Oreochromis niloticus: one gene and its partners. The main gene of each other region encodes a partner of the protein of the gene in region 3 in a complex. Links are inferred from orthologs where the notes say so. Each region holds a gene or a part of one and is shown on either strand. Other genes may lie near its edges.

Evidence for each region.
Region 1: arhgef6 (region 3) and pak1 share a complex: the UniProt entries of both Homo sapiens proteins name them as parts of the cytoplasmic complex. The link is inferred for Oreochromis niloticus from reciprocal best matches to the Homo sapiens genes ARHGEF6 and PAK1.
Region 2: arhgef6 (region 3) and dab2ipb share a complex: the UniProt entries of both Homo sapiens proteins name them as parts of the cytoplasmic complex. The link is inferred for Oreochromis niloticus from reciprocal best matches to the Homo sapiens genes ARHGEF6 and DAB2IP.
Region 4: arhgef6 (region 3) and dcp1a share a complex: the UniProt entries of both Homo sapiens proteins name them as parts of the cytoplasmic complex. The link is inferred for Oreochromis niloticus from reciprocal best matches to the Homo sapiens genes ARHGEF6 and DCP1A.

What each region holds. Positions count from the first base shown.
Region 1 is NC_031979.2:35,549,816-35,557,438, forward strand, and holds the start of pak1 (serine/threonine-protein kinase PAK 1), read right to left. Parts: upstream 3,127-7,623; 5' UTR 2,939-3,126; intron 1-2,938. UniProt on the Homo sapiens protein: Protein kinase involved in intracellular signaling pathways downstream of integrins and receptor-type kinases that plays an important role in cytoskeleton dynamics, in cell adhesion, migration, proliferation, apoptosis, mitosis, and in vesicle-mediated transport processes.
Region 2 is NC_031972.2:15,120,282-15,127,748, reverse strand, and holds the start of dab2ipb (DAB2 interacting protein b), read left to right. Parts: upstream 1-4,218; 5' UTR 4,219-4,427; coding exon 4,428-4,467; intron 4,468-7,467. UniProt on the Homo sapiens protein: Functions as a scaffold protein implicated in the regulation of a large spectrum of both general and specialized signaling pathways.
Region 3 is NC_031966.2:19,368,039-19,376,245, forward strand, and holds the start of arhgef6 (rho guanine nucleotide exchange factor 6), read right to left. Parts: upstream 3,278-8,207; 5' UTR 3,145-3,277; coding exon 2,980-3,144; intron 1,918-2,979; coding exon 1,834-1,917; intron 140-1,833; coding exon 55-139; intron 1-54. Other genes in the region: rbmx (RNA-binding motif protein, X chromosome), read right to left, coding at 5,843-6,159, 6,905-6,996, 7,078-7,203, 7,409-7,526, 7,726-7,866, 8,011-8,176. UniProt on the Homo sapiens protein: Acts as a RAC1 guanine nucleotide exchange factor (GEF).
Region 4 is NC_031984.2:24,735,931-24,744,304, reverse strand, and holds the start of dcp1a (mRNA-decapping enzyme 1A), read left to right. Parts: upstream 1-5,061; 5' UTR 5,062-5,064; coding exon 5,065-5,244; intron 5,245-5,569; coding exon 5,570-5,610; intron 5,611-6,949; coding exon 6,950-7,077; intron 7,078-8,374. Other genes in the region: cacna1db (voltage-dependent L-type calcium channel subunit alpha-1D), read right to left, coding at 1-310, 3,297-3,324. UniProt on the Homo sapiens protein: Necessary for the degradation of mRNAs, both in normal mRNA turnover and in nonsense-mediated mRNA decay. Removes the 7-methyl guanine cap structure from mRNA molecules, yielding a 5'-phosphorylated mRNA fragment and 7m-GDP.

The DNA of each region.
Region 1 (7,623 bases), on a different chromosome or scaffold from region 3:
AGCAAACATCAGCTGATACTAGAAATTAAAATCAAATGAATTCTAACAACAGCTGATCAAGCTTAAACGTGCTGCTGTTGTTTAGCGCGATAAACAAACAAGAGAGAAAAGCCGATCATTGATCAGTTTCATGACTGAAGTTTGAACAGGCGAGAGAATGACAGGGGAGGCTGTCATAAAGTTCAACATCAGTAACTTAGCGCGCACACAGCTGTATAGAAACTCCATCGTGCTAGCTACCACGCAGTACGAGTTATTATAACTGATTGTAAAAAGTCAGCACAACGAAAATAAACTACACCTAAACTCGGTTTATATCTGACCCAAATAGAGTGCAGGTCATAACTTCTTACCTGAAATTCAGTTCACCTCACGCTCCGACCGGCAGCCGCCTGCTTCTCCTGCCTTCGGTTTCCCTGATCCACGATCTACCACCGGTCGATCGGCGGTCACCTCGCCGCCTCGTTCCCCGCATGTTCTTTCTGACACACACCGGTGGATAGCTGCCCTCGGTTGTAGCTCCGCGTCAGCGACTACCAAACAATTCAGTTATTTTTTCCACATCGACCAGCATCTGGACAATCCACCGCCTTTCACTGTTTGTACCGTTACTAAAAAAAAACCCTCATCGGCTCATAAAAACGAAAAATAAGTCCAGCTATGACCCTGAGTCAAAAAGACAGCCAGCTCGGGTTAGCTAGCTGTCTAGCTCTTTGCAGGCACCGAAAACATCAGAGCTAATATGGGATGTCTTGGTAACACGAGCAGATATTTGAAGTTTACATCTGGCCAATCCACCACCTTTCACTGTTTATACCGTTACTAAAATGAATAAATAAATAAATCATCGGTCCATATAAACGAAAAATAAGTCCAGCTAAAACACATACTGTCGGCGAGCGACCGGGTGCTGACACGAGTTTCACCCGCCTCAATATAAGCCAAGCCTGGGTGCTTTTTCACGAAGGGTCGCTAGCGGTGCTAGCTAACTATGCTAGCGGCGCTAGCTAGCTAGCCGGCTATCAGCAACACATAAGAGAACTGCTGCTAAATAAACTACACCTAAACTCGGTTTATATCTGACCCAAATAGAGTGCAGGTCATAACTTCTTACCTGAAATTCAGTTCACCTCACGCTCCTGCCTTCGCTTTCCCTGATCCACGATTGACCTCCGCGTTAGGAAACACCGGTCGATCGGCGGTCGCGGCATGTCCTTTCTGTCATACACCGGTGGATAGCTGCCCAGTGTTGTAGCTCCGCGTTATAGCACCACCAAACAACTCAGTTATTTTTTCCACATCCAGCTGTAACTCCGATTCTATGCGAGCATTTGCGAGAGACAAGGGAGGTGAAACGACAGAGAGTCCCCTCGCTATCCATTTGCAGCCAAGTGCGGCAGCTAGCTAGATAGCCGGCTAGCTGTCAGGCAGGACCGACGTAGTCAGAGCACTGTCGCTAAATATGGGATGTCTTGATAAAACAAGCAGATATTTGAAGTTTACACACCTACATTCTCGCCTGAAAATATCTTAAAAGTTTATTTTGTGACCTAGAAACACTAATAAAAGACATATAAAACGAAGTGGTGGCCGCCATTGTTTAACTCGGCAGAGGTGTGCTATGAATTGTGGGATATGGAGTTTTCCACCAAGCATAGAAGCCATTGTGTTTACCGTAACGATTCAATGGTTCGCGCAACCTTAAAATCTCCAATGGTTCCTGAAAGCAGCGAGGCTGTGCGCGCCATTGATATTGTCATCATTACGGTATCCAAATAAGGGTAGACAGGCTGTACCACTCCCGGCATACCACTAGAGAGAACCAACACACCACAAATGAAGTTTGAAATTTGTTTCAATGGGACCAAAAGATGGCGCCAACACACCACAAATGAAGTCTGTTTATTTGGCGCCAAAAGATGAATTGGCCTAAATTTGCACTAAAATATTAATATTTAAAAAACTATAAAAGTTATGAACACCAAAAGTCATGACATAATAGTCCAGCTCCAGCCGCACAAAATGATCTAACATATGTAACCCTAATGTCAAAACTGTTCGGCAGAGGAGCGCGGGAAAATTTTCACTAAAATATTAATATTTAAAAAACTATAAAATTCATAAAGACCAAAAGTCATAGCACACCATTCCAGATCCGGCCGCACAAAATGAGGTAACATATATGAAGCTTGTCTCAAAACTGCGGGGCGAGATTCGCTGCAAAATTTCAGGCGGAAACTGGAGAATAATAATAATAATAATAATAATAATAATAATAATAAATCCGAGGAATAGTAATATGTGTGCCTCTTGGCATAGGCACACATAATTATGATCCCACCACACGTATATGATTCCACATAATGTGTATGTCTACTTTAGTACCTGTACTTGAATGCCCACCTGTGTATTTCTGACTTAAGTAAAAACTAAATACTTCTATCACCTCTTTCTAAATCAGTTATTACGTACTAAACAACCTTCAGAGAAACTTTTCATCTGTGTTTGGACTCACTGCTGCACATCAGTGTGAAATTCTTTTGTGTTTTCTGCCAGATTTTTCTCCTGCATTTATTTCTGATGATATATTCTGATTTCCCGTGGTCCCCCGTGTGCCTTGCTCTTGGTCTCCACATGTGCCACCCCGTGGAAAAAAACCCTGGAAACGCCCCTGCCGGTGTAATAAAATAATAATCATACCACCCACTCCTCAGACTGTTACAAGCTCTGATCTTTGTGCGGGTTTTATGGGCCTGCAGGTTCCGGGGCGTTAATATAGAGGTGCAGTGGACAGAATAAGGAGATAACAGTGCGCTCCCAGCCTACAGTAATCATTAACCCCTTCTATTCTCACGCAAATGAGCTCCCAGCGCACCATGCCCGGCTGAGAATGGAGATGCAAGGCTAATTCAGAGATAAAGTCCAAAGGTTTACTCACCACTTGTCCGGTCGTAAATGTAAATCCCACAGTGCCTGCGTGGTAATTTCCGACACCGGGACACCACGTCTCCTGTAGTGGGAAAACTCCGCTACCCTGTCGGCTCAGCCCTGCTGTGCTCCGTCTCCCTCCTGGCTGCTTTTTTAACAGTAAACTTGCCGAACCCAGCCTATTGTTAGCGAGGCGCAGAGAAGGCTGCTGCACAGAAACGCCCGCCTCCTCCAGCGCCATTGGACCCTGTTCAGCCTCTCTCTCCTCCGATTGGCTGAGCCAGATGTCCCCTAGAATCCAGGGCGGGTCGCAGCGCCCCGGTTCACAGCGCGCTGTGCTGCATTCAGTGACACTAAAAAATAGTTAGAAATTCTACTTTTCGTTGGGTACTGGCTCCCGGCGTTGCTTTCAAGTTTAACACTGACAGTAGATCTTGAAAGCAGAAAGAATAAGGAATTTATGAAACCATGAATAAGATCTGATTATTAAGACACAGACATGGGAGCAGTCTGTGCCAGTCAGCTGAAAATGCAAGTCAAATCGTTTTATCTACGAAGCATATTTAAACACAAGTAACGGAAAGATTTTTACTTTATCATGATATCATTATGATAAATGATTTATTGTATTAAGCTAGATTATTTGTACATGTAACATGTAACAGTTAGCCTTATGTACGCTAATTGTTACATGTTTTTGTTTCTTTTGTACTTTTAACTGCTGTAACTCATTTTCAGAACTTTAAGATGTCTTATGTTATCTCAAATAAAAAAATACCATCTGACTCATTTTAATAAAAAAATTAAAAGTAAGTTTAATGTTTTTAATGTTTCTTTTAACAATGAAAACAATTAACAGAAAATTGCTGTAAAAACAAATAAATCAATTATTTGATGATACAGATCTACTGGGGTAAACGACACGGTAAACAAAGAACATGCTTGTGAAATTAACCTAATGAAGAGGGGAAAATAAAAGAAACCTATGAAATAATAAATATAACAAACAGATTATATCTCCAGAACTTTCATTTGCATGTATGACATTATTATATTAAAAATATATAATTTTTTAATCTAAAATTTTCAAAGCAAATAATTAAACATGTTATTCTATGTACTGTTGCCTCATTAAGTGGGTCCAGGGTACAAAATTAGGGAGCCTAAGAAAAGTTGTAACGCTCTATAAAAATATGCTGTGTCTGTAATAACTGGACGAACATCTATAAATGCTCCTTCTCATTTAAAACCCGAGATACACAAAAAGCCTAAATTTAAGAAGCTGTTAAGCGTTTTAAGAATCTGAAGATAAAATTATATTATTTTCTTTTTCCTCCTCCAGCAAACTCAAATTAAACATGTAGAGAAACAATTTTTCTGGTTTTACTTTATGGGGAAAAAAACAGAAGAAAAAAGAATTTAGAATAAATTTGATATTAATTCCATCCAATCACATATCATGTCAGGTTAAATGATCCACAACTACATGAGAAGAAGAATTGGATGGCGCCATCTAGTGGCGAGAGGCTGTTGAAACCTCACGGTGGAAATGAGGAACGCACATAAACTCAAACAGGTTAACAGCTGTTTTCTAGTTCTGAAAAACCAAAACCCAAAAAAGTTTAGAAAGATTTGGGAAGTGAAAAATTTGCTCAGGTCCTTGCTGAAGCAAATTTTTCCAAAATTTCCTACAATTATAAACAATATATACTCACTATATACACGACTCTCACAATAAACATTTACTGCCTATCTTATGAAAAAATAATTTCTAATGTTCCCAGTTTGTTTGGACAATGATTAGAAAAACATAAAATAAAATAATAAGTCACACTGAAAGAAAACAGAAAGTAAGAAAATATCTCTTTATTATCTTTGTCTGTAGATATGCTGCTTTCAGTGGTTTGAGTCGTTTCCTCCCACACACACAAACAATTTCACACACATCAAAATGGTTTTTTGCATATTAGCGGCGTGTGTGTGTGTGTGAGAGAGAGAGAGCTTAAATTTTGTCCAGATATTCACAAGTAATAGAGGCTGAATTTTAATTACTTTACTAGTCCTCTGACTCTGATGGTGATATTTTCTTATGGGGGACTGACAGCTGAGCATAGAACAAAAGAGATTTTAATGGATTTAAATAAAATAAGACAAATGTACTGCAGATAGTTTACATGATATTCCAAATAGAGTCTACAACTACAAGGAAATAACAGTACTCCAAGTCAAAGGAACATGAGGCGCTGGCACTGAAAACTGTGAGTGTCTGGGCTCAGCTTTAAAAATATGGTGAGGAGCTTGGTCATTAGTGACCTCATAGCTGAGGTGTTTCAGACGTCTTCTACCTGGAGGAGACCCTGACACTTTGTTTTTCGGCAGCCCCAGGAACGCTTTTGTGTCTTCCTAGAAGAAGATGAAGATGGCTGTGGAGAAATCCCCACTACCCCAAAACCTGGACGTGTATATGTTGTGGCTATGATGTGACACAGTTTAAGCCTACGCTCTGTGCATTCAGATCCAAAAACCAAAACACACGATGAAATATATAAGTGAGGCTTTCAAAGTTCTTCTTATCTGATGTGTATTACATCACTGTAGAACAAACCATAAAACTGTAAAATGTACTTTCAAAACTATCCAGTGGGCTGGGTTGGACACACAGGCCCCGTTTAGTCCCCCAGATCACACATCTGATACTTCTGAACCTGCACAACAAACTTTGTGAGAGCTGTGAAGTATAAAAGCCGCTTGATAGACAGAGCGCTTGATATCGAGCCAAGTGCTTCAAAGTGTTTCTTGATGATCAGATAAAGAAGTGGCGTTCCTCCTCCAACCTCAAATAGGAAGCTCATGAAGCGAGCAGTGTCAGTGTTTGTACGACACTCACCAGGAGACCTCTGAGCAGGATGGCTGCAGTCGCACAGCTCTGCTTCTCCCTGATGTTCACTCTCATCAGCAACATTCATGCAGAAGAATTTATCGTGATAATCGAGGAAGGAGGATTCAATCTCCCAGATGAGGGCAACTTCTGCACTTCACAGTACATGAAGATCTGACAGGACGACTCTCAGTTCCTGAGACATTTCATGGTTCTTCTTTTACTCTCAACAACCTGACGGACTAAGACTCTGGACTGTACCAAGATGTGTGCTGGACTCAGGGCAACGTGTCATATGAGAGACACATAAGCCTGACTGTGTGTAGGACAGTAAGTGATTGAATATGTTTTATTGAAAATCATGAAGCAACAGCAGTAGTACATTATGAGCGAGTAGATGACAATCTGATGGTCCAGTGGATCAAATGTGAGTTTTCATGGGAAATTTGCATGGGGAGGACATTTCAATGGCAGTTTTCATTGGCAGTATGATCTGGACCAGGGCATTAATAAGATCCTGGACAATCTGCAAGCTGGCGGTATAAGGTGGACTAACATCCCAGAGCTTTTCTATCGGGTGAGCATGCAGGTATCAGTTGATTCATCCTCCAGGAAGTGTCTGCATACTTTCCAGATGAGATGTGTTGTGCACCAGGAGGAACCCAGGACTGACTGCACCACCATAGGATCTGATAGTTGGTCTAAGGACTTCATCCCAATACATGATGGCAGTCTCGGTGCTGTTGCCTGACCTGTGCGTCCCTCCATGGATATGCCTCCCCAGACCATCACTGATCCACAATTAAACCCTTCATGCTGAACGATGTTCTGGTGAACCTGCTCTAATCTGTGAAAAGCACAGGCTGCCAGTGATGGACCTGCCAATTCTGGTCTTCTATGGCAAATGCCAATCTTGTCCCCCAATGAGCAGTGAGCACAGAGCCCACTACAGAACGCCAGGCCCTCAGACCTCATGAGGTTTATTTCTGATTGTGTGGTCAGACACATTCACACCAGTGGCCTGCTGGAGCTTGTGTTGTTGCTCTGGCAGTGCTCATCCTGTTCCTCCTGTCTCTAAAGAACAGATACCAGTCCTGCTAATGGGTTAAGGACCTCCTGAAGGTCCAGAAGAATGGCACCAGCTCTCCTAGAGTGACTGTTTGTCTCCTGAAATCTCCTCCATGCTCTTGAGCTTGAGACTGTGGTGGGAGACAGAAAACTTTTTAGCAATGGCATTGATTGATACCATTGCTAGAATGGCATCCCGAAGAAGGCGGAATACCTGTGCAACCTCTGTGGGGTCTTGCTTCATACTACCAGTCGTCACACTGACTCTAGCCAGCAGGAAATAAGGAGGGAGAATATTTCTGTGGTCTCCGCCTGTAAAACCATTCCTGTTTTAAGGGTTGTCTCACTGTTGCCCCTCTAGAGTACCTGTTGGTAATTTCGTTAACATCAAATCAGCAGAAACTGACTAACAACGCCCTCTGATACTTACCGATCAGATCAGTATCCCAGAAGTTTAAACGACAAGATGCTATATCCTTCAATTTTTTTGAGCAGTGAACATTTTTTTGGGGGGGGGCAGCTGGAAAAAATTCCTTTCTGACATTGTACACATGAATCAAACTGTCCTAGAGTACATTCACTAATCTACCATCCAGTTTGTGACATGAAAAGAGAAACAGGACCAGAAACTACTTGGACTGGTTTCATACGCCTCATCTTTTACCCTCAAAGAAAGCATCAGTACACCATTAGTACTCAGAGACACCTTCTTTCTCAGGATGTCACATGAAGAGTAATAGATTACATCT
Region 2 (7,467 bases), on a different chromosome or scaffold from region 3:
CTGCAGCCCTGGAAGTCACTGCTTACAGTAACCACTCTAGGTCTGTGGGGAATCTGTGGGAAAACCCACATATAAATTAGTTATTAAACATTTACAACTGCAGATAACAAAGCTGCTTTCTTATGAAATTGGCAAACGCACGACCGATTTATTAATGACCTCTTAACAGTAAGAATTTGACAAACTGCTGGCCGTGCATCCATTCAGCACAGCACACCACATAGTTAACAAGTCAACATGGTGTTGCTTTTGCAAGTAGTCCACTGGTGTTTCCAAACCCATACAAGTTAGAAAACTCAGACACATTATACATTCGCCTGATATATTTTTTTTATATGGTTTTCAAACACTGACACTGGCTGTATTTGTGCCAGTAGTCTGCTCAGTTCATCGGTCTGCCATTCACGAGGGTAGATTAAAGGAACAGGCTCAGCCCTGAGGCTACATATAACCTATGGAAAGATGACAGTGAGCAAAATGGCATGTAGTGACATTCACAGAATTTAACATTTACCACTAATAGCACATCATCTTCAATTTTTTAGATGCCTGGATCCTTGGCATGGTACGCACCACATTGTTTGGTGCATATTTATTGATAAAAATGAGAATTTTCATTTTAATATATTCTGAGATAAAAGTTTCTCATTAGTTGTGGGTGAAAAGAGGCTATTTATGTTGTTCTTTGTCTGATTTTAAATTTCCTGGAGGAGCACTGTACTGTATCTGCATTAACCTGCAATAAAATCCATTTGGACTCTCTGAATATGCATATGTTTCCCAGAACATGTCATAATGAAGTCATTTCTTTTGACCCTGTTATATGTACAGTATACTATCGCGGCACATTCTAATAAGGGGGAAGGAGTCGGGTGAATGCATTGTAGGTAGGAGGAATATATTAGTCACACGCAGTTCAGTAATAGGATGGGAGGGAGAACTCCAGATCTGCTTCCCAGAGCAGAAAGTCTGCTCTTAATTTAGAATAATGCATTCACATTAAAATTCTTTCTGTAAAGCTTTGCTTTAAGAAAATCTAAATGTTTTATTAATGTTGTATTAAATTATATCCTACCACAGTGGACCAAGATGGAACTTTCAGAAAGGCTGAGCTTTTATATTTCATAAATGTAGCACATAAAGTAACATGGATCCAGTTGTCAAATTCAACCCAATTTTTTGGGGCTTTTTACTTTTTACCGAGGAAGAGGAACTTTGCATGTATTTCCCAAAGCTAAATAAATCTGTGTTGGCAAAGATGAAAAAGAAACTTCCAGTTCTAGCAAATAAAAAACAGAAGTATGATAAATAGTGATGTGGGGGTGGAAAAAAACAAACCTTACATAGATTTGTGAAAAGAAAAATATATATTCAGTTCCAACTCCCTGCTCTTGAGCTGCAAATGACGCAAAGCTGGTTATACTTTCTCTTTATTCTTTCTTTAAAACTTTTACGTAAACTTTTATTTAACAGTTATCGGCGGGTCAACAATGTATGGTAGCTAACTGAAATGTATCAGCTTATTTCAACAAAATATCTTTACCTACAAACCTACCTTAGGCTTAAGCTTGACAAGAGGTCAGGCTGCTGGACTTTCAGTACAGTGGTATAAAGCCTGAAAGCATGAAGGATTCAAACAACATCTGTCTTACACTGAGTGAAATGAAATGTTAGTCAAACTGAAACAAGCAAATACAGTAAGGGAGCATCATCATCATCAACAATGACGAAAGAAAGGTCACACACACACACACACACATAGGAATTACAAGAAATACACACACATCCGCTGAGAAGCCCCTAGTGATACTGCACAGGATGTTTTGAGTGTGTTATGAGACAGAGTTGAGCACTTTGACAGTTTGGACAGAGGCTTTTCTGTAGTCTGGAGCCGCAGTCTTTTATTGATCTGTAGCATCCTTCAGAGGGCAAGTGAGTGAAAAGGCGGCGCCCAGGATAAGAAGAGTCCTTGATGATGTTCGGGGTCTGACATGAGCACCAGGGTTCTGTAGATCTCCTCAAGTGCAGTGTGAGTGAGTGTTGTTGGTTGTGCCGATTGGATGGTTTTCTTAAGAGCCTTTTTGTCAGCCTTATTGCAGTTGGAATGCCACACCAAAACTCCATAGCTGAGTGCACTTTACACTGAGCTACGGCAGAAGGACACCAGCAACTGTTTGGACAGTTTGGCTTTTGTAAACATCCTTAAGAAGTTGAGCCACCTCTGAGCCTTCTTCACCAGAGAGGCTGTATTTATATTCTATGTGACGTCCTGAAGGGATGTGTGTGTGCCAAAGAATTTAAAGTTGGACACTCTCTCCACAGTGTCTCCACCCATGTGTAATGTGACAAGTTTCTCCTTCTGTCTCCTTAAGCTCAGGATCAGCTTTTTTCTTTTAGAGGTACTGAGTGTCAGGTAATTGATGGAGCACCATACTGACAGTTCATTCCTGTAAGCAAACTCATCAGCATTGTGTATTAATCTCACCACATCAACACGGTCATCTATAAACTTGATGACCGTGTTAGTGATGTGGATTGGTGTGCAGTCATGCATATCGCGAAGGGGCTCTATTGGATTGAGATCTGGTGACTGTGGAGGTCATTTGAGTACACCAAACTCATTTTTTGTTCAAAAAAACCAATTTGAGATGATTTGAGTACCAACACCATTCCACCACCAGTAGCAGCCTGAACCATTGCTACATGGCATGATGGCTCTATGCTTTCATGTTATTTGTACCAAATTCTGAGCCTACTATCCAAATGTCACAGCAGAAATCAAGACTCATTAGACCAGGCAACATTTTTCCAGTTGTGTCAGAACTGTACCCCTGCTTTTCTGTCCTTAGTTGACAGGGTAGCCACCACTGTGGTCTTCTGCTCCTGTAGCCCATCTGCCTCAAGCTTCAATATGTTATGGATTCAGGGATGCTCTTCTGCATATCTTTGAAGTAACAAGTTGTTATTTGAGTTTCTGTTGACCTCAGCTTGCTGCAGTCTGGACATTTTTCATCAGACCTCTGACACCAACAAGGCATTTTTACCCAGAGAACCACCACTCACGGGATATTTTCCCTTTCTCTGATGATTTTCTGTAAACTCTACAGATGGTTGTGTGGGAAAATCCCAGGAGATAAGCAGTTTTTGAAATACTTAGACCCATCTGGCACCAACAAGCATGCTGCATTAAAAGTCACTTAAATGACCCATTCTGATTCTCAGTTTGTAATTTAGCAGGTCATCTTGGCCGTGCCTGCATGCCTGCACTGAGTTACTTTCATGTTTTGTGCTTATTAGATATTTGCATTAATGAGCAGTTGAACAGATGAACCTAACAAAGCCACCGTTGAGCATAGACATACATATATAAGCACATATGTCTCCTGTTATTAGACATTTGTAGGCGAATAGTCTAAACTATGTATGTTTGTGTTTTTTAAAGAACAATTAAATCAAATTTTTGGTCAGTTTTGACAGCCTTAATGCATAATGAGAGGTATGTTCGCAGGTGCAAATAAATCCCGCAGTGTTTCAAAAACGTGGTGCATTCCTTGAATTGTAGAGTCAGTGCACATCTGATGTCATCTAATGGTTACGCCTTTTTTAATCAAGTGAAAGCGAAAAGTCATTCATCCTACAAGCCGCCAAGGTTGTTAAGAATTTCTAATCCCACTTCATTTATTTATCGTGGAGACAGAGTTTGAACAACAGAACATTAACCGACCTGTCTCCATACAAACATCAGCTTAAGACAAAAGAACAAAGCTTTCTGCACTTGCGGCTCTTCTTTGTGCACTATACTAAGCTCCCCAAGCCTTAAGAATGAGCGTGTTGATTTCCTGCGTGCCCTCATGTAGACATGCTGGTATTATACCATTTAGACTGCAGTTTCACTAAAGATTGGATCTGTCACACACAGTCAAAGTGATGCAGTACATGTAAGCTGTGAACTGGCTTAGCGCTCTGCGTTGCAAGGTTACATAGAGGGGAGGGAAGAATAATGCCTCAGTGCCTGACTGAGTAAGCCCACACTAGCAGGTGATTGCTTTCTTCCTCTCCTCAGCACCTCCTCTTCTTCAACCTTTGCAACTCCCCTCTCCTCTCATGCTCCTCCCATTTCCCTGCCCCTGTGTACCTCATAAATCTTCATCTGCAGTACATGTGCTCCATGTAAGTCCAACACATCCACTTTCGCAGCAAGTGAGAGCAGGAATGAGAGAAAGTCAGAATGAGATTGGAGACACTTGACGAGGCAATAAAAGCAGCTCATTTCTTCTCCCGCACCTTTCTCCTGGCTCTGTTTGCTCGCTCGCTCCTCGCTCGCTCACTCCCCGAGCTGCTACACAGACTCCGTCATCAAAACACACACAGTGAGGCGTGCTGGCTCGCTCACTCTACAGCCACACAATCTGGATCAAGCATTGAAGATGCAGCAGCAGGGAAAGATGTCTTCTGATTCCCTGTCAGGTAAAAGCAAGAATAAGATCTGTGTTTCTCTGCCTTCCTTCCCATTTCTTGTCATCACCAGTCATCCTGTTTCCTCTCCTTACTTCAGTGTTAGAATTCTGGATTCTTTCTCCAGTTCTCTCCCTCTCTGTATCCATCTGTGCACTTTCTGTTTGTGTAATTCTTTGCCTCGTATGCATGTCCATGAGTGCAAGTGTTGTGTTAAAAGAGGTGATAACCATGATGATTGTAACTGTAAATTACATAGTGTGTGTGTATGTGTTGTATTTTTTTCCATATGGCAGTGCTGAAAGAGTACATTAAAGTGGAGTTGCTCGTGCTACTATGACTACCTCACTTCATAGCTGAGAAAGTGGATACGGACTAGAAAACATTGCATTCTTCTGACCTAGATATACTGACAAGGCTTGTGCTGCTTTTTCCTTCAACTTACAGTGTTTAATAGGTTGCGGCTGATTGCCAGAAAGTGTTGTTTGAGCTTGCTCCTATAGAGTGACAACATAATTTGCATGCAGGTCGTATGTGAATTTTAAACCATGAAAGATCAAAGCAAGTAGCTCGGGCTGAGTTAGAGCACATTTACATTTGCTGTGCTTGGTCTGTGGAGGTTGATAGCTGCCCTCGGTGATGAGGATGATCCTGCTGTGTATTGAGTTGGGAACTAGACTGTTCGCACTCATTGGTCGTTTGTTGTGTAATCCATTTGATTAGAGCCAGAGGGATAAATTCGTCCTCAGTGAAGCCTACTTTGATTTATTGTACAATGAAAGGTTTGATAATTCTGTTAATGTGTCGCGGGAATCTCAGCATCAACCTAATTAAGGCTACTTAGTGAGAACAAGAAGTTTGAAAAAAAAACTTGGCGAGGTGTAGAGAACAAATTGAAACTGTAAATGTAAAGAGGCCCAAGATTTTTAAAAAAACTGATGGATAAACCAAAAATGGACCAAAAACAAATATAATTTGGCACTGATTAAATTATGAAATGTAACAAGCTGATTTAGTTTGATTTGCATTCATATTTTTTAACAGTACTGAGTGTTGTTTTGCCTGTTTGTTTTTTGAGCTACATTAGCTCGGCACCTTACTCTAACAGTCTCATGAACCATTTCTGTCTTGAGCTTTTCTTGACCAACTAATAGGTACAAAGCTGAACCTACGACAGTCCCCTCATTTGCCTACTGAGGAAAATGAAGAAAAACTAAACCTTAGAAATTAGAAAACTGTCATAGAAACATCAGTCCATGTTACATTTTTATAAACGAATGCTCATTTATTTATTTTTTTGTAACACACTGATGACATTTAACTTTCTTTCTTTCTTAGTTGGCAGTTTTGATCCTCCATAGATGATGTCTTAAGTAGAATGTGAAGACTTCTTCATACACTGAAAATGATTATGTGCAAGTTAATAGAGGCCAACCAGGTTGTCACATGTTATTATCAGCTGATATTACCTACCTGCCAATATATTGATTTGGCATTTATAACAGCTGATTAATGACAATAAAAAAGCAAAGTAGAGCTGTGAGAAACACCCATATTCAATAATTATGAATATAAACGTTCCATAGTTTGAACACCACAAATACAACTTGCTGAGCAGTTGAGCAGAGTATAAACGAGTAAATATAGAATACACATAACAAATGAAAGGAAAATCTGTTTGTTTCCTTTTATTAGATATTTTTATTTATTTTTTTAATATCCACCAAAATATTGGAATATTGGCTTTTTGAATAACCAAATATTAGTATTGGTATTAAAAATCCCATATCAGCAAGCTGTGTAACATAGTTCCTGACTGACGTATTTATGTATATAACATCACCAAGTACATTAAAAACCCATTAATAAAATATTGATAAGTTGTCTCTAAGTGTTAAATAGAGAGGGTTTGGTTTCTCAGAACATTTCTTCCCTCATCTAATTTTGATGCCTCATCCCATCTACTTATGTTTAACTTGTTTGATCATAGCATTTGGTCTTTTATTTTGGTTAATGTGGGCAAGGGGGACTTTTATGTTTAAGAGTCTTCAACATAAAAGTCCCCCTTTGGCCACATTAACCAAAATTAAATTAAGAGGATGCCTGGCAACAAACAAACCAAGAAATCAGGAAGGGGGCAAATATTTTTTCAAAGCACTTTGAGTTACAGTTAAGTAGTGAATATCTTTATTGCACTCTTAAAACACTGAAAACAGTTGGCGTTTGTTTAAATGACTAACATTGCTGTATTGTGCATTATGGCAGTTGGAAGACAAAATAAAAGTGACTCCCACAGTGTTCTTCATTATTTACTGACACATTACTCCTGTTCTGACACGACACCTGTCACCCATCGCAAGTTTCATCCAGGCTCCAAGTGAAATCTCATCTCCTTTGCTGCTTTTCATCTGTGAGCAAGACAACAGCAGAAAACACAGCTGCACAGTGCCGAGATGATCGTGGCACAGATGTGTACTTCCCGTAGACGAAAGGCTGTTATTAGTAGAGCTATCCTTATATGAACAAGAAACGCAGAATCTACTCTGTGTGTTGTATTGGAACCTCAGCACTGACAATAATAGCTGGTCAGAAGGGTTACATAATCTGTGTGAGTGCAAGAGAGAAATGTGAAGGTTCACAGGAAGTTAAATGCAAGTGAGGAAAAAGGTAAACCATCAGCAAAACCGTTTATTTAATATAGAAATAAAGTAAAGAATCGTCCCTGTCAGCCTCTTTGCATTTCAGCTGCATGCCGCTGTGGTTTCCCTTTTTGACAGCAGTACTATTTTTTCTGATTGTCTTGGCACAGATTCTACAACAGTTTGAATGTGAAAAAAAACTCTTAATCAAAGAACCAAACTGTACTGAAAGGAGCTGGCAGCAAGCATTTCCCTGAAACAAACTCCATTTTCACGAAAGACTTTGACCATCTTTTATGTCACAGGAAATTAAAACAGTGTACTCAATAAAATCAGCAATAATAACGAAGCACATAAAGAACAATTCTCTCCT
Region 3 (8,207 bases):
ATGAAACATTAACAATCTCCAACATTCAAGATCAGAAAGAAGGCAAATTCTTACCTTGTGTTGCAAAGTTGACCGCCAGCAAAGTATTTAGGACCTTGCCAAAATTGTCGCCAGTGTATAACCACTCTGGTTCAAACACCTGGATGGAAAATTTCAAAAGGTCAAAATTAGATCTGTTTTTCCCCTTCCCCCTCTGATTAAATAGATCTTGCACTTGTTTAGTGCATACATCCACAGCTAGAGAGACAGAGACACTCGCTCCAGGTTATTGCACAAACAATGGAAAGAGACACACATAATGAAATGCACACAGGGATTTGAATAAGCCTCTAACAAGACAGACAAAAACTGACATGTTTGACCCATATTCTGTGTCTTAGCAGTTTGTAATAAAACAGGCAGCGTTGCAGGCACACACAGATGCTCACTCGCACACTGCTGCTCGGTCAGTCTCAGACAGCTATCTTCTTTCCTCCAGTGGATAAGGTTTCACATTTTAAATAAAACATCTTAAATATAGGGTTTGAGTAGTATAACCTGCATTATGAGTTGTGTACAACATCTATAAGTGTGATCATTACATCGCTTAATGTGGGACGAGCCTTAGGGTCGATGTAACTAACAAGACTTGCGCTACAAGTTGAAAAAAAAGATAAGGGAAAAAGAAAGCTGGCACATAACATTACCTTTACAAATACTGGCTTTACATCACCAAAAGCAAAACAAACCGTTGGTCATCACGATAACTGTTGCCAGCATTCACAAAGGTTTTGGCAGGGGTCAGTAGTTTCAGTGAAAATGTATTTATGAGTGTAAAAATCAAAGCAAATAAATCTTCACATACAGTTAATAACACAGAACAAATATTGGAGAGCCCCAACAGTAATTGATGCTTCCTCTTTCTGCATCTCGGGGCAGAAGTGAAAGCAGAATGACTGCTTTCTCCAGTCACAGGACAAACAGGCATTATCAGCTATAGCAAAAAGGGATGAAAAGTTCTCTTAACATGATCACATCACTGACCAAAGGATGGGCGAGGTTTGCCATAATGCCACACAGACATCCCCTGGCTGCTACATTTAATAGCGCCTCTCCAAAAACCTCTGCCCATGAGCTACTGGCTGGCTGCAAAAGGTCTAATTATGGGCTAGGGCACAGTTGGTGGATAAAAGCAAAGGGGACCTCCCAGACATAACAAGCCAGCTGGGCAGACCTACTGAACCACTTGACTTTGCAGTCAGCCAGCCTTGCTGACTCAATTGGCTGTTTTAAAGAAACCAAGCGTTGTGATTCAAGACCAAAAAATATTATTTTTAAAGCTGGAAGAGACATTAACGTCCAGTGTGGTGGTAACAAACAGGCTGGTACAGAGACAGGGTAACCTCCCAACATCTGGAAATGATACACCACTTTTCAATATTAGGGAATGCACTGAGCGAAACAGCACTGCTTTGGGGATTTTTGACCTGCAGCAAAACTAACCATTAAGTCACGAGTGCATGCAGGAGAAAAGTTATTAACAAGGAAGTAAATGCTGTTCAGAACTAAGTTGTACCAATTTGAAAACAGACAGTGAAGTCATGCAGGCCAGCACTTCACTTGCTGACTGATTAGTGAGAGTGAGTGACAGCATGTCTGTTTATATGGCTCACTCCACATGGACGTGAGGGGAAAGCATATGCCAGCAGGGTAAGCAGATCAGAACACAAGCAAGAGAGTGTTCACATCTTGCAGTAGACAATTAGGAGATAACGGCAGAGTGAGGTCAGTGTATTTCAACAAAACATGCCTCTGAATATAAAACTTGACAGACCACACATTGAGATAACTTACCTCCACTTTCAAGGACGAGCATCCTTTTAAAAACTCCTTGATGTTGGAAATGCAGTCTGCTTCAGTTCTCGGGTCCTGGCAATACTGAGTACACGAAATAAATATATAAACACATACCTCGGCTTAGTATGTCAAAGAGGCATCTGACACACTTATCAAACGCTCAAGGCCAAAGCTACAAATCACTTCAGTATACACTGAGCCCCGCAGTAAGTAAAAGAGATGCCGCAACCCGACTGTGGCAACCTAAAGTTAAGAAAATAACTGTAGATTCTTCCTGCGTCTCCTTCATGCATATATAACCATTACCACCTCAAAACCGCCGTCAAAGTAGCCTTACTCAAGCAACTTCCGCTCATTTTACAGTTTCAAAATAAAATCCCCATCGACGAAAAAAAAAAAGCTGACGTTTGTGTTTTTTTAAGCAAACTTCTAACAGTTCCTGTGAGACCAATGTTGTATTGCCACCGAGAATGTATGTAAAACTAGGGTGATCCGTCTGCCATACAAGGGAGAAGTTAGTACTTCCGATTTTGTTTCGGGCTCACGTTGTCGCCGCTTTGCGCTTTTTTGTTCTTTTTTTTTTTTCTTCAAAGGGGAGGTCGCACCGGGAAGAGCAGCCGCTCAGGAGGAAGTGACGAACTGTCTTTGCAACTGTTATTTATCACTATCAACTTTGCCATCTAAAACAGTGAACACAAGTTGTTTTAAAATTTATCACCTTTAAAAAAAGGAGTCAAACAGTGTGGCAAACTCCTCCGTTTGTTCTGTACAGTACGGTCTATGCGCAATGTTTAGCGCACACTTGCTACTGAATTTGCCCTGTTTTGGTGGGTGTTCACACTGGCTCGCACCTCTCAAGAATGCGGAACATTTCTGTCGCTTCACAGGAAACCATATCGTGTATTCGCAAGTCTGAAACTCTAACTGTTGCTGTTGTTTTTGACGCGACACGCATCGCGCAAAACTATCACAGACGGCTGTTCAAACTTCATGGTTCGAGTTCAGTGAGCTACAAAATCGCAAAGGCCTGCTGGAGGGAGAAGTTCTCGTCGGTATCACTTTCATCAAACCCCTCCCTTCTTTTCACCGTCGACGGATCGTTTGGCATTTGTTGACTCGAGTTAGCTTAAATCAATAACTCACCTTGGGAGTGAAGCCAGGTATGAGGCGCTCCGAGAGCTTGCACAGGACGACTCCATCCTTGAGCGAGGTTTTCAAAAACTCCTCCGGATCCGCTATGTTCTTTTTAGGGGAGCTAAGCACTCCTAATGATATCAACCACGTTACAGTCTGCTCCTCTGGATTCATAGCTCCACGAAATGACCATTGCCTAAGCCTGCATTGCTTTTAATTTAAAAAGGAAAATAGCTGGCGTCCTGTTCCGTATCAATATGCAACTCACATCCGCACTTCTGCTAGAAGTTTAAAAAAAAAAAAAAGAGGCGGAGGGGGGGGGGGAGGACGACGCTGTTTCTACACGCAAAACTGATGATCACCCCTACTGGCAAATAGGCACCTCAACAATAGGGTTTTTTTTTTTCCGTCTTCCCCCTCTGCAAAGTAGCACATGCTGGCAGAGGGCAATCATAATTACATACTGAAATACAGCAAGGCTCAGAAAACATGACCGATATCTGCAAATTGCATACTGATAATTCAGAAGAGGCAACTATTTAAGTCTAACATGATAAAGAGTAAAAACTTATACATAATTGGGTCACTTTTTTTTTTTTTTTTAGATATGGAAAATGGGTCATCTGCCACAGGAAGCCTTACATATGGGGAAAATGTGATATTTGCAGATATTGAGTGTCTCAGCTAAAAAAATAAAAGTTTAATCATGTCATGGCCAAAATCTTAAATTTCAGGACAACAAAACAGCAAACGGAAAACCTCTTCAAAGCTTTTATTGAAAACAGTACAGAGTGCATTTGATGGCTGTACATTTCTCCCACTTTCAATGCGTTGCTCAATACGAAGATTCAGCCCGACCTCTGAACAGAAAGCTGTGCCAGCATCTGAAAGACAGCAAAAGACATCAAAAGTTAAATTTAACAACAATATTATTTGTCCAACAAACTTGGGTGTTTTTTGCATGATTTTACAACTTATACACAAAATAATATACACAGCAGCCAGAACAGGACTTTCAGGAAGTAATCTAAAAAGAAAATACAGAGTCACAATAGGACTCAACCAACTTAGTTTTGTTTGTTGCATTTAGTGGGCCAAACTGAGGAACTTCCTCATAGCACCTCATACAAAAAAAAAGGTTCAAATGTTTTGTACAGAAGTATATTTGATTTCTCAAATTATTTTCCTCCTAGCATCTTAAAAATAAACTAAATTCTTTTGGCATATCAAACCATTTTCAAAAACGGGTTGGTATCAAAGTGCCCTGCATAGCTCTACTTTCTAGGATTCTCTAAATTCCCATTTTACAAATGCATTTTACATTAATAAGTTACAGAAAATAAAGTAAAGCAAACAAAAACATACCTAACATGCAGAAAATACAAAAAGGTATTAAAATAATCATAACGCCCACTGTAGTCAATTATTGAAGACTTTACATCATTAGTAATGCTGACAGGCTCACATCGATTTTAAATAAACACACTGTGTTCATGATTTGGGGCAAAATTGCTGTAAAATGTCTCAGCAGTAAAGGTTGTCCATCCCATCTTAATTGTGTACAGGTAGATAAAGACTTACTAGTCTGTTAGACGTGCTTATGCAGATTCACTGTAGCTCAACTAGTCCAGCAACTTGAAGACATTCAGATATGTTGAAAGGGCAATTGCCTTGAAGCAATGTTCATCCTGCAATGAGAAGATCATATTAGTATGGTGCCTTTTTCTTAATTATGTATTATGAGGTAACTGAAAATTATATTGTTGTCCTTGGTCCAACTGTACATTCGTTTCATTGTTTTTCGGTTTGGCAGTTAGGACGATGGTGCTCTTCCAAAGGTCTCCATTGTTTGAATTGGCATGCTCAAGGAAATGATTTTGATACCAAGTCTTTAATTTAAAGATTGCTTTCAGGTGTTTATAGAGGAAAAAAATTACTAAATATAACCCCATGATGTAAAAAATGCACGGTTGCCAATCATTTTACTGATGTTGGATGACTGGTTGGGCAAAAAGGAGCCTTGGGGCTCAGTTGGTAAAACGGGTGTTAAAAGCATTCACTGGTGAAAAGGGAAGAAACTTCTTGGCATGTTGCTGCACTTTTGACAATTTTGAGTGACGAAAATGGACTACAACGAAAAGGTTCATTTCAGTCGACTTCCTTTTTTCCTTTTGTTCCTTGAAGCCAAGTTTCCTTGAATATCGCCCTTTGACTGGAGAGTGCAATACAGGACAATGAGAAACTCATTTACAGATGAGAAACAAAGAGTTTTGCTTTGCTTACCAGCTGTTGACTATCAGTCGAGTTGCATTTGGTCGTTGCATGCCATCAAATGGCTCTAGGGTGATGAATCCATTTCCAAGGAACTACATTGGAACATTTTGACAGTAACATTTGCCTAACCTTGAAAACAGTAGCGTCCAGTTGGAAGTACATTTGTGGCAAGAATGAACGCATCTCACTCCAATATTTAGCAGACTCACCTAAGTTTTACAGAGGACCTTTTTAAGGAGATCATGTTGTTACGTAACATTTGTTACGGTCTGTTGTTGAAAAATCGATGAGAAAAAGTTATGGTACAACTAAAACCTTTATTAGATTAGGAAAGCCATACTTATAGGGCATTGCAGATTTCAACAGCACTGAAAGTACAAAAAACTAACACTCACTTGGTAACTGTACTGACATAAGCAAGAGAGAAAAAAACTTTTACACATAAAAGAAAAAAAAAAATTGGGAAAGTCAAGATACAGTTCAAAACTAAGCTTCAGATTCCACAAATTTAGACATGGCTAGTTTGTCCTTCCTCCAAAACACGTTTTAAGTGTGCATGGAGACTAACGTTTGGTTTAATGACATTTCCAAGTCCAGTTCAGTATCTGCTGCGAGCCATTCCTCTATCGACTCGACTGCCACCACGGCCACCACGTGGCCCTCCACGACTTGAGCTGTTGTATGAGTCACGAGGAGGGTAGCCTCTCTCGGCAGGGGGAGCTGGGCCCCTATCCTGTCTGCCCATTCGCTCACCACGGCTAGGTGGATATGGGTCACTCCGACTGTTGGGGTAACTGTCACGACTGCCATAGCCATCCCGGGAACTGCTGCCATAGTCATCATAACGACTGCTTCCACTGCTCCCACCATAGGATGGTGGGGGGCCCCTTGAAGGTGGGGCGCTGCGAGAGTTACCTGCAGGGTCAATGGTTCAGGTAATTGGCAAAGTTCAATTTATACATTTTTCTTTGCACGGTCAAGTGCTATTTTTTTTGCCAATAGAATTCATTCTGTGACAAAAAAATAGATAAAACTTAATGGATGGCATATTTAAAATGTTCCACCCTTTTAATACTTAACATGGATATTTTGTTGATATGCGCAGTAATATATCCAAGCACAGAACAAATAGGCAGTGGTACCCATTTCAGCATGCCTTTGATTTGAGTAGCCATTTTTCCATTTAGAGATCCAAGTGTAGGTTAGGGTGAGGTTTTCAGTTGTCTTGATGGTTTTCGAAGATTACTCCTTGAGGGAGTACTTTGCTGGACAACACATAACGGGCAACGGATGTTTCCACGGATTTTTGAGGTTCCTTATGGTTGCAAAAACTTTGAGGTGCATCACATATACATGATATTGCCAAACTCATATTCTCCTGATGAATGCAGGGGTAATGCAGACTTTGGTATGTAGACACTTTTGTTTTTCAGTGGAGATGCCAATGGTAAAATATTTCTAGTAGTATGAAAATATACAACTTGGATTGTAGGTCAGGGAAAGAAAAAAAATAAATTACTATGTTGTTTCCTCTGAGGATGCAAAAAAAACTGCAGTATCTTGTGATAGGACAAGGCAGGTTTGGTTGAATATTTGTGCACTTCTTCTTTGTGCCACAGCGATTACACATTGTCATTTCACTCATGGAGTTATGTCTTACCGTAACCATCATATGAGTCTCGGTAGGAGCCACCACTAGGACGGTCCATATAGCTTCTTGGTTCCCTGCCTCCTCCATAACCATCACGGTCACTGCAAAAAGCAATTGTCACTTAACAACCAAGGGAGATCTGACCTCAGGTTTTTACTTTTTGTATCAATCCAGGCTCATACCCGTATCCTCTTGACATTGAGCCGTAGTCATCGCGGGAAGTGGAATTAGAATATTCTCTATAGGAATAATCTCTGGAAGGTGGCCCATAGTCCCTAGAATCTCTGGAGTAATCCCGACTGGAGTAGCTGTGAAACATTACAATACACCTCAACTCTGTTTCCTGAGCATAAATTTGTGTTAAATATGTGGACTTTTTAAACAGAAAATTCAAATATAAAAAAAGATGACCACAATAGCTCTAAGCAACAGCAACTATCAGCATGTTACAGTATATCAATCTTGAGGTTTGCCATGTATGTTCACACTAGTGTGTATTATGAAAATACCAACCTGTCTTTTGAGTTGTAATGATCATCTCTGGGTGACGGATAATCATCCCTTCTGGACATCATCGAGTCTCTGCGAGGTGGAGGTGGACCATAGGGATCTCTGTCCCTTGACATGGGAGCTGGAACACATAATGAGAAACTGATGAGATTAATCACCAAATTACCATGAGACAGAAGTATCCCTAGTTACTTGCAAGAGAAACAGAAACTAGATACTAAATGAAATCTAGAGACTAAAATCTGTACAATTAACTTTTTTTTTGTAATTGCTTCCACATCACTTCCTGCATTTAAATATTGCAGAGTACAAGCACTTACGTCTGCTCATGGGACCAGAGGGGGCAGACCTCTTGGGTGGGGGACCTCCATTTCGAATAGGGGGCCCTCGTTTCATTGGAGGGGGGCCTCTGGATGACATCCCTTTAAAGAAGGGTTCTACACTTCCTGAATCATAGTAGTCTTTTAAACAAACAAGAAATGCACATATTAACATACTACATTCAAAAGCTGCAACAAAATTCCATCCAGAGATTATTATATCATTACACAGATTCTTCCAATTTACAAACTGAGCAGACCCAAAAACACAACTAAATAAATTACCTCTTGATGGGGGGCCTCTCATTCCACCAGGACCTCCCCTTGAACCACGTGGACCTCTGGGTGGCCCGCGACTGCGAGAGTGCATGGGTGGAGGTCCGCGCCTGCCAGCACTCTCAAACTGAGGTTTTGTAGCTTGCTCAACTTTGATAGGCTTGCCATCAAGAGACTGGTAGAAGAGTTACAAGTATAAATCACAT
Region 4 (8,374 bases), on a different chromosome or scaffold from region 3:
GAAGTGGTACAAACTGAGGGACGTGAACTTATGTTGGGCTTTTCAGGATCGCCCTGCGCTTGCCGGGCTGCGCTAATGGCGGCATGCCAAGCGAGGACCGGGCTGACTCCGGGGGCAGCTCCACCGGGGCCCTGAATGGAGTTGTTGGCCCCGAGGAGGCCATGAGCGGAGCCGACGGGCTTGCCGGTGCTAGCTGGAGGATGAAGTGACTGTGATGGATGGAGCTGGTGCAGATGGGTGTTTCTTTCTGACCAGGGAGCTGAGGTGTCAGTTGGGGGAGTGGTCCTTCTGTTGCTGGCATACTGTGCCCCTGGAGAGAGCGAATGGGAAACAAGGATAAAACATTTTGAGATTGAAGTTATAAACAAAAACACTTGAACATGTGTGTCATTGGAGGCACTGCAAAAAAGCTGCGACATTCCAAAATCCAATTTTTTCCACATTTTTACAAGTCAGAAGTTTTCTTAGCAAGCATTTAAGGCTCATATCTGCCAGCCAGTAATAATGCAGATGATACACTTACTTTGGATCCCTATACAAAAAGTAACATATCCAAAATCTACACTAATATTCAGAGTATGAATCTACGCTCATGGGGCAAAACAAAGGCACAAACAGGATAAAAACACTGAACTCCACAGGGGGTTCTAGAAAAATTGCTTAAAATGTGTTCTTAATCTACACTATTCAAATGATAAACTTGCAGAAATATATTCTTATATTAGCTCAACGTGTTTACACTTCCATCAAGAACCAGCCACTCCAGCTCACATGTTTTGCCACAGCCAATCATTGAACAGTTTTCGGAAGAATATTTTTTGAGGCCCTGACATTCTTGTGTAGACAAAACACAGTAGCATCTCCATATATCTCCATCTTGTGGCTCTCCTGCCTTTGGAGGTCACGATTTCCGCAGCACCAGCAAAGACAATTGCGTTTGCTCCTTTAACGTCTCACAGATGTATTTTCTTGCATTGTCAAAAAGACAAGACTCCATCCTTTAAAATCTGGGTCAGAGAAATGCTTTCTATGCTGTGTTAAAAAAACTGAGTTACAGTAGAGCCAAGTCTCTGGAAAGATTCAGAACCACCTGGCTGCCTTTCACTCATAATGCAGATGTTTTTGTCTTATTAATGTACATAATAATGGCACACTCATGAACTGATGGTGAGTTAAGGAGAATGACTCCCCCCCATCCCTATCATTTATACTGTTTATGTAATTATATCAAATTGGGGGGGTTTTTCTGTCTTGTACCTGTAATCTTAGGGGTGGATGTGAGGAACATTACATTGTTTTGCTTGTTTGTTATTATTAAATTATAAATAAAATCTAAAAGAAATTAAGTGTAAACGATATATATATATATATATATATATATATATATATATTTGGCTGGGTCCCGATATATCAGCTGCCATATGTCTCTGATATATTGGCTATGTTAGCTATTAGTCCATATATTGGCAGAGGCATTACTATATAATGGCTGATAAATTCAAAGTGTAAGAGTGAACAAGCGATGGGAAAAATACCCTTCAGCCATGTTATTAGTCTGGATGTTGCATTTTTTGCCCACCAGAAAGCACTCTGCATTTTCACTGTTGGCAAAGTGATGGAAGTCTACAAATTCAACGATCAGCTGGTCACATAAAGGTGTAATCCACAACCTGCTGTGACAATAAAATGAGATTACTTTTAAACAATATTGTCATGATAGGACTCATAAATAATACCCATAGTCTTGGTCTTAAAAATCAGTCAGTCTTTAAAGTGCTTTTCAAACAAGGACATCAACATGCTTTCCCTATGAATGAGGCGACTGAAGATAACTGCTAGAATTTCACTTCAGCTTTTTGCAAAAGTCTATTAGGATCCTAAGGGCAGTGGACATACATATATAATGTCGACAACATTATCACTACTTCACATTTAAACTTGCCTTGTACAATTACTTGTTGAACATGCAATTAACTGTCCTCTAAGAACCCATCCAGAGATAAAATGGGCAGAAAAATAAGAAGAAGTGATTATGGTGATTATAATTATGGTGATGACGGGCTTGAAAGGAGCCCAGAAAAGACAGCTATAGAAAGAGAAAGCAGAACAGCCTGCATGAATGGGAGAGACAGAGAGCGTCATTAAAATCAATGCAGACCATGAGCTAAAAAGACAGTGCCCTTGACACAGTCGCACACTGCAACTCTATAGCACAGTCACATCGGGGAGTGTTGTCAGCTATAGACTGACCGTGTCATCCAGCAAAAACAGCTCCAACACACAACTAAGCAAATAAAGAAAAAGAAAGAAAAAAAATGAGAAATCTATTTGTGTGGGTCATGTGCAATATGAGAGAGAGGCACAAAATCTGAGAAGAATAAAGCTTTTCTTTTAAAAGGTAATGATTACACAAAGTTGGTTCCTTTATCAGATTTCAGGCAAGCTACTTAATTTTATTACTTTTCATCAATATTCTGGGCTCGTCTGTGCAAAATCATAGTCACCATGACTCGACGCTCACGGTGTAGTCAAAACATGATAGTTTATTATGCGGGGAAGTCTATCCGAAACATCACTTCACTTTAATTGCGCTTGATGTCAGCGCGATCGCAGGTGAGAGGTGCATTCAAAACATTTCATCACCACCCCTTCTCATACAGCGATACACCACCACCACAGGTGCAGCAGAACAAGTGCACGCTGCTAGTTAATAATAGTCACAGCCTGTCCGACATGTAAAAGGAATTAACCCAGCGCTTCTGTTGGATGTCGCACATCTGTCACAAGATGCTGGAAAACAGCTGTTGACTATGTTGCTGTGGTCGAGTTTTGCTGCTTTTGTTTGGACAGCTTTTAAACTCTAAAAGAAAAACTTAGAAGAGAAGGAATTTACTTAAAAAGTTCATTTAGCGTCTCGCAGCTTGTTCTGGAGAGCGAATATATTCAAAGCACCCTGTCACATGGTTTCAGAATGACCGTTATAGTCAACCATTTTTCGGAGAACTAGCCTCAACTCGCTTCCCAGTGGATCTGAGAACTGATGTTATCACAATAATGTAGCCTACAAGCGCTTACAGTGTTAATACACAATCCCTGCACTGGAATAAGTTGGGGAGGGAAAAAAACATGTCAGCAGCAGCCACGACTCAAAGCATATAATCACACGGATTAATCAGAAATCCAGAGAATAAACCGAACGAGCGCTCTCGCCCCCTCTCCCTCTCTCTCTGCTGCGCTCCAACTCTCCTCCTGCGCTTCCACACGCACGTTTTTGGGGTTTTTTTTTTTTTTTTTACCTTCAGACTGTTCATCTGCTTCTTGCATCCTCGAATCCACATCGAAAAGATCCGTTTTAAATCCAACTCATCGTTGGAAAAACCGTCCGAAGGTGTCGAAGGCGCGAAACCTGAACAGAGCCTTTAACCTGAATCATAAAATGTTTTCCGAGCGCAGACCCTGAGAGGAGCGCCAAACATTTTCGCCACATCCGGGTGCCTGCCTGCAGATTCACGGCGTATCCGAGAGGACGCGCTGGCAGGGGCAGTCAATCCACTGCTGTCAATTATCCTCTCTGTGGCTGGGGACGGACTGACACAAGTTGGAGCAATCGCGTGGGCTCCACTGTGCTGAAATCACGCGCGCCCACCAACTGGAAATGCACCTGTTGCCGCCTATTGGGAAACTTGCAAAGAGCGAATGCGATCATCTCAACGTAAACATTAAAATGTTTTTAACTCTAGACGCCAGATGTTGCTTTAAAAAGAACCCTCTAAAAACAAAACAGCTGACTGGAGAATAAAGTCGTGCGATGACATCAGAGAGCAATGAAGACAGGGAGAAATCAGTATATCCATCTCACTATATATATTGTATGATCCTAAATTAAAAACTGTTGCAAGGCTGCAATTAAAGGTCGTTTAAAGTACAACCGTGTACCTCGGACTGTCTCTACTTTAAAACTATCCACGGGTCTCAAAACCTCCGAATCTGTTTATTCTTTACGATTCGGTTCAGCGCTGTGATGAAGGTCATGAGACACGTGACTACGCAAAAGAAACCAGTCGGAACAGTGAACAATCTGCTAGAAACAAATGGTGACAACTATACTTTCCCTTAAGAGGGAAATTTCTGTATTTGAGGATGAACACCATGTCCGTATCCTATCCTATCCATCTGAAGAGTTAAACGCTCGGACTTACCCCTCAGGGGTCTTGCCCTTATGATGAACGGCATTAGATCACCTGGCTCTTCTCGGGGGCCTCATTGCGCTTTTTTCTGTCCTCTCTCCGCGAAGATTCGAGAGGAAATGGGATGTTAGAGCGGTGCTGGAAGGTTACCCGTGATTGGATTACCTGAGCCTGCGGGATAAAGTTTCACGGTGGCGCGTAATCCCCAGATTATAATCCTGCTCCACTGTTCCATAAACTGCAGGTGAGGGAGGCAGCTGCAGCTCGGTCCGGACGGCAATCCTGCACAATCCCACTATGCATGCAATGGGTTTAAAGTATTATGTCCAAATAATTACAATAAGCACAAAGAGGTCACGCCAGGACACAGGGGCGTTTTAACTTTTCACTATCAGTCTGCCATTTCGAATAAAGTTCGGAATTAACGTGACTATAGATGAGTGCGATTTCAAATAAAGAACATAAACTAAAGAAGACATAAAGTGTTACAGAGGTTCAGAATTAAAACACACAGCTATAAATATCGTTTTTCTTTAACAGGTTTTCCTCAAATAGGTTTTACTATTTGGAAATTATATCCTATCCTAAATATCTAATCATGCCACGATTATCATGAGTTATTATTATTGTTGTTGTTATTATTATTATTATTATTATTATTATTATTATTATTATTGTTGTTGTTGTTGTTGTCGTTGTTTGATCGACTTTGAAGCTCAAAAGAGTCACCAGATTTTTTTTTCGTACAAACATTTTGTATTTAAGCTCTAGCTAAATGCGACTGACCAGAATTACAGTTCGAATTAATATGCGGAATAAATCAGTGCCTCGGAAACTTTTTTAAAGAGCCGTGGTTTCCGGGGACATCGGAAGTTATATGTGTCTGCTGAATTCCGTCCGTGCGGGAGCAACAATCATATCCAAGATGGAGACCGTAAATGCTGGACATATGATGAGCTTAGCTGCTCTACAGAGGCACGATCCATACATAAACAAATTGCTCGATGTTACCGGCCAGGTGGCTCTCTATAACTTTAACTCCAAGGCGAATGAGTGGGTAAGTTTGTAAGTAACGTACAGAGTTTTGCAGAAAGCCGTCAAAGCTAGCTAAGTATTTGACTTAGCATGCTAGCTATTCTGTATAAACAAAAAATACAAAGAAATTTGATCATATTTGTGGAAGTGAACTTTATTCGGGTAATGCTTACACACGTTGTGTTTTGCCACCACTGTCATTTTGATAATTGTTTTATTTAATTTTTTTTAAATGCCAATAAGCGTAATCTTTTATGCGCTAGCTATAGTTGGGCTAACAGCGTCCTTTGCTATTATTCAGCATGTTTATAGTTTCTGACTCATACCTTCACTTTTTTGTTTTACAGGAGAAGACTGAAATCGAGGGCACCCTGTTTGTTTATGCAAGGTAAGCACGTGAGGTTTTTATAGTAATGTAACGCGTTGACCGCGAGGGCTTGTTTACTTGTTCTTACGTTTCACGCGCTGTCATTTGACGTGTTCTACGCACGTGTGCAGGCCTCAGTCTTTGTAAACAAACACGAATTAGATTACGTGTGATTTTTATTCGCTCACAGAACGAAAATTGCAGCCTGTTTAAATAGGAAATTAATAAGTAAAAGTTTTAGTAAATTAATTCCACTTGAAGTGTAAAGACTTGTTTGATAAACAGCTTTAATGCGCATCGTTGTTTTGAGGGCTGTTCACGTATTCATTTGAAAATAACGAAATGTTAGCAACCGATTTAATTGGTTATTGATTAATATGAATATCTTTCATAGAATTGAGAATTATGTAATTCTCTGAAATTCTCATTTACAAAATGTATATAGTAAACGAGAATCCTACAACCTACCTCCAAGCCTGAGGCCATGGTTCTCAGCTGGAAAAGGGTGGAGTGCTCCCTCCAGGTATGGGATCTTGTACACAATTGAGGGGAGAGGGGAGCGTGAAATTGATGGACTGATCGGGGTTTACAGATTCGCGGTGGTAAAGAAAGAGCAGAGTCCAAAAGGGAAACTTTCAATCTTACATCCCTACCTTCAGCCATCCGTGGCAGTTTAGGTGACCACATGGCCAGAGAGCAGCAGCCAGGGTTTGACCCCCCCCCGCACACACTCACTCACTCACTCTCTCACACACACACACCGCTTTCCTGTCTGTCTTCGTTGTTCTGTCTGTCAGGCAAAAATGCCCCCCAAAAAATAAATAAATAAAATGAAATGGCAAATCCAAGCAGCTGAAATGAGTTTTATCTAAAAGGTGGCTGGCCTGTCCCTTAGAGATAGGATGAGAAGTTCAGTTATTCACAAGGGACTCAGAGTTGAGCTGCTACTCCTCCACATTGAAAACTAGGCAACTACGGTGTTCTGGTCATGTGCTACCAGAATGAGGCCATGGAGTAAGCTCAGGATGCCAAGAACAGTACAGTACAAAACCGGTACTATGTCCAGCAATGACCTGCCACAGGACCTGAAAGATGCATGTGGTCTTTCAATTGATCCATGCACTGTTTACTGTAGTGTCATCAGAAATGATCTCACTGAAAGGGTGGCTATCAAGAAGCCACTCTAAAGAAACAAAAATGGGATGAAAAGGCCAAACTGATCTGAAAATCAGTGAACTTTTTTTTTTTTAGATGTGCTAATTCTTTGTCATAAAAAATCATTCATGGATGACTAAAACTAATCGACATAGAGAGATGTTTTATCAGTGAGGTGATGTTTTATGTTTTTTGTCCCTGAAAGGTCTGCTTCCCCTCACCATGGCTTCACCATCATGAATCGACTGAGCACGGAGAACCTTGTAGAACCAATCAATAAAGACCTGGAGTTTCAGCTACAGGATCCATTCTTGCTCTACAGAAATGGCAACTGTGAGTGTTTTGTAGTCCAGTTACACAGAAACAGCAGATGTCATGTACAGGAGATACATATTTCTGTGTATGCTTGGACTGAAATCGGATGTGCTGCAGTACTTCACAGCTTCTCGAAGTTTGAGGGAACAAAAAAGACCACTATCCCAGAATATCAGCCAATGTTTCTCAGCTACATAATATTTCTCTAGTACAATGTTTCTTCCATAATATTGTGCTGTATCACAAAAGGTAGTGTCGAAGAGAAACACATACCATAGCTTTGAAAGGCTCTGCTTTAGACAAAAAGAGATGATAATTTACAAGAAAAATTACACGTTAACTGAAAAAAGTAAATATCCAAACAGACAGTAAACTTTCGACCTTTCTCTAAATGTTACTGCACTCTTAGTTTTTATTTCATGAACTTAAAAAAATGAAAAATGTTGTGTTCAAAGAATTTCTGCATTTCTCTACCTGTAGATTTTGTTTTAAGTTTGTTTGCTGTATTGGTTTTATTTAATTTTTCCTGCTCAAACGCAATAATGCCAGAACACATTAGTACCTTTGAAAATGCTGGACAGACACCTCCCCAGTGTTCTCTGGAACAGCTCTTCTCCCTTTTGCTTGAAGTCCTTCTTGTATCTTGGAGAATCAAGGAGGAAGACCTTGTCATTCATGGCCTCAGACTGGTCTGTCAAACCACACAGTATTCAGCTTGGTTTGGCCACAGTTTTCATTCTGTATTGGGCCAACAAACAAAAAGACTTTGGGTTCTAAGGGGTGAATTAGGCTTCTACTATATAAATATTTTTATGTGCGTTGCAGTTTTTCCTGATGACTTATTCCAGTGAAATCGTCTAGCGTTATGAAGAGAGTTTAGCAGGGAGTAGGATCAGATGAAAAGGCTTGAAATAAATCCTCAAATCCTCAGAAAGTAACTGACAGTGCTCCCACCGAGGTAATCTATCAAAAGTCTGAACAGAAGTTTCATTAAGGCAATGAACAAGGAGTTGGATTGTTTTCCCATTTGTTTGCTAATGAGAAAAAATAACATGGCCAGGCTCAGCGTCAGAGTGGACTGCTCCCCTTTAGGACTCGGCTTGCCTATCAGCCTGCCTGGTATGGAAGACATGATGTAATTTTTTTTTGTTGGTATCCGAGTCGGAACAGCTTTTCCAGGTGCTTCACAGGAGTCCGAGTGCTGCTGTTTTCATTTTAATTCCTCAAAGTGTGTTGAGTTGCAGGCAGATAAAGTGGTTGACGGTATTCCTCAGTCTGTGAAGATGCTCGTCTGACAGCTGATGGTCACTGTAAG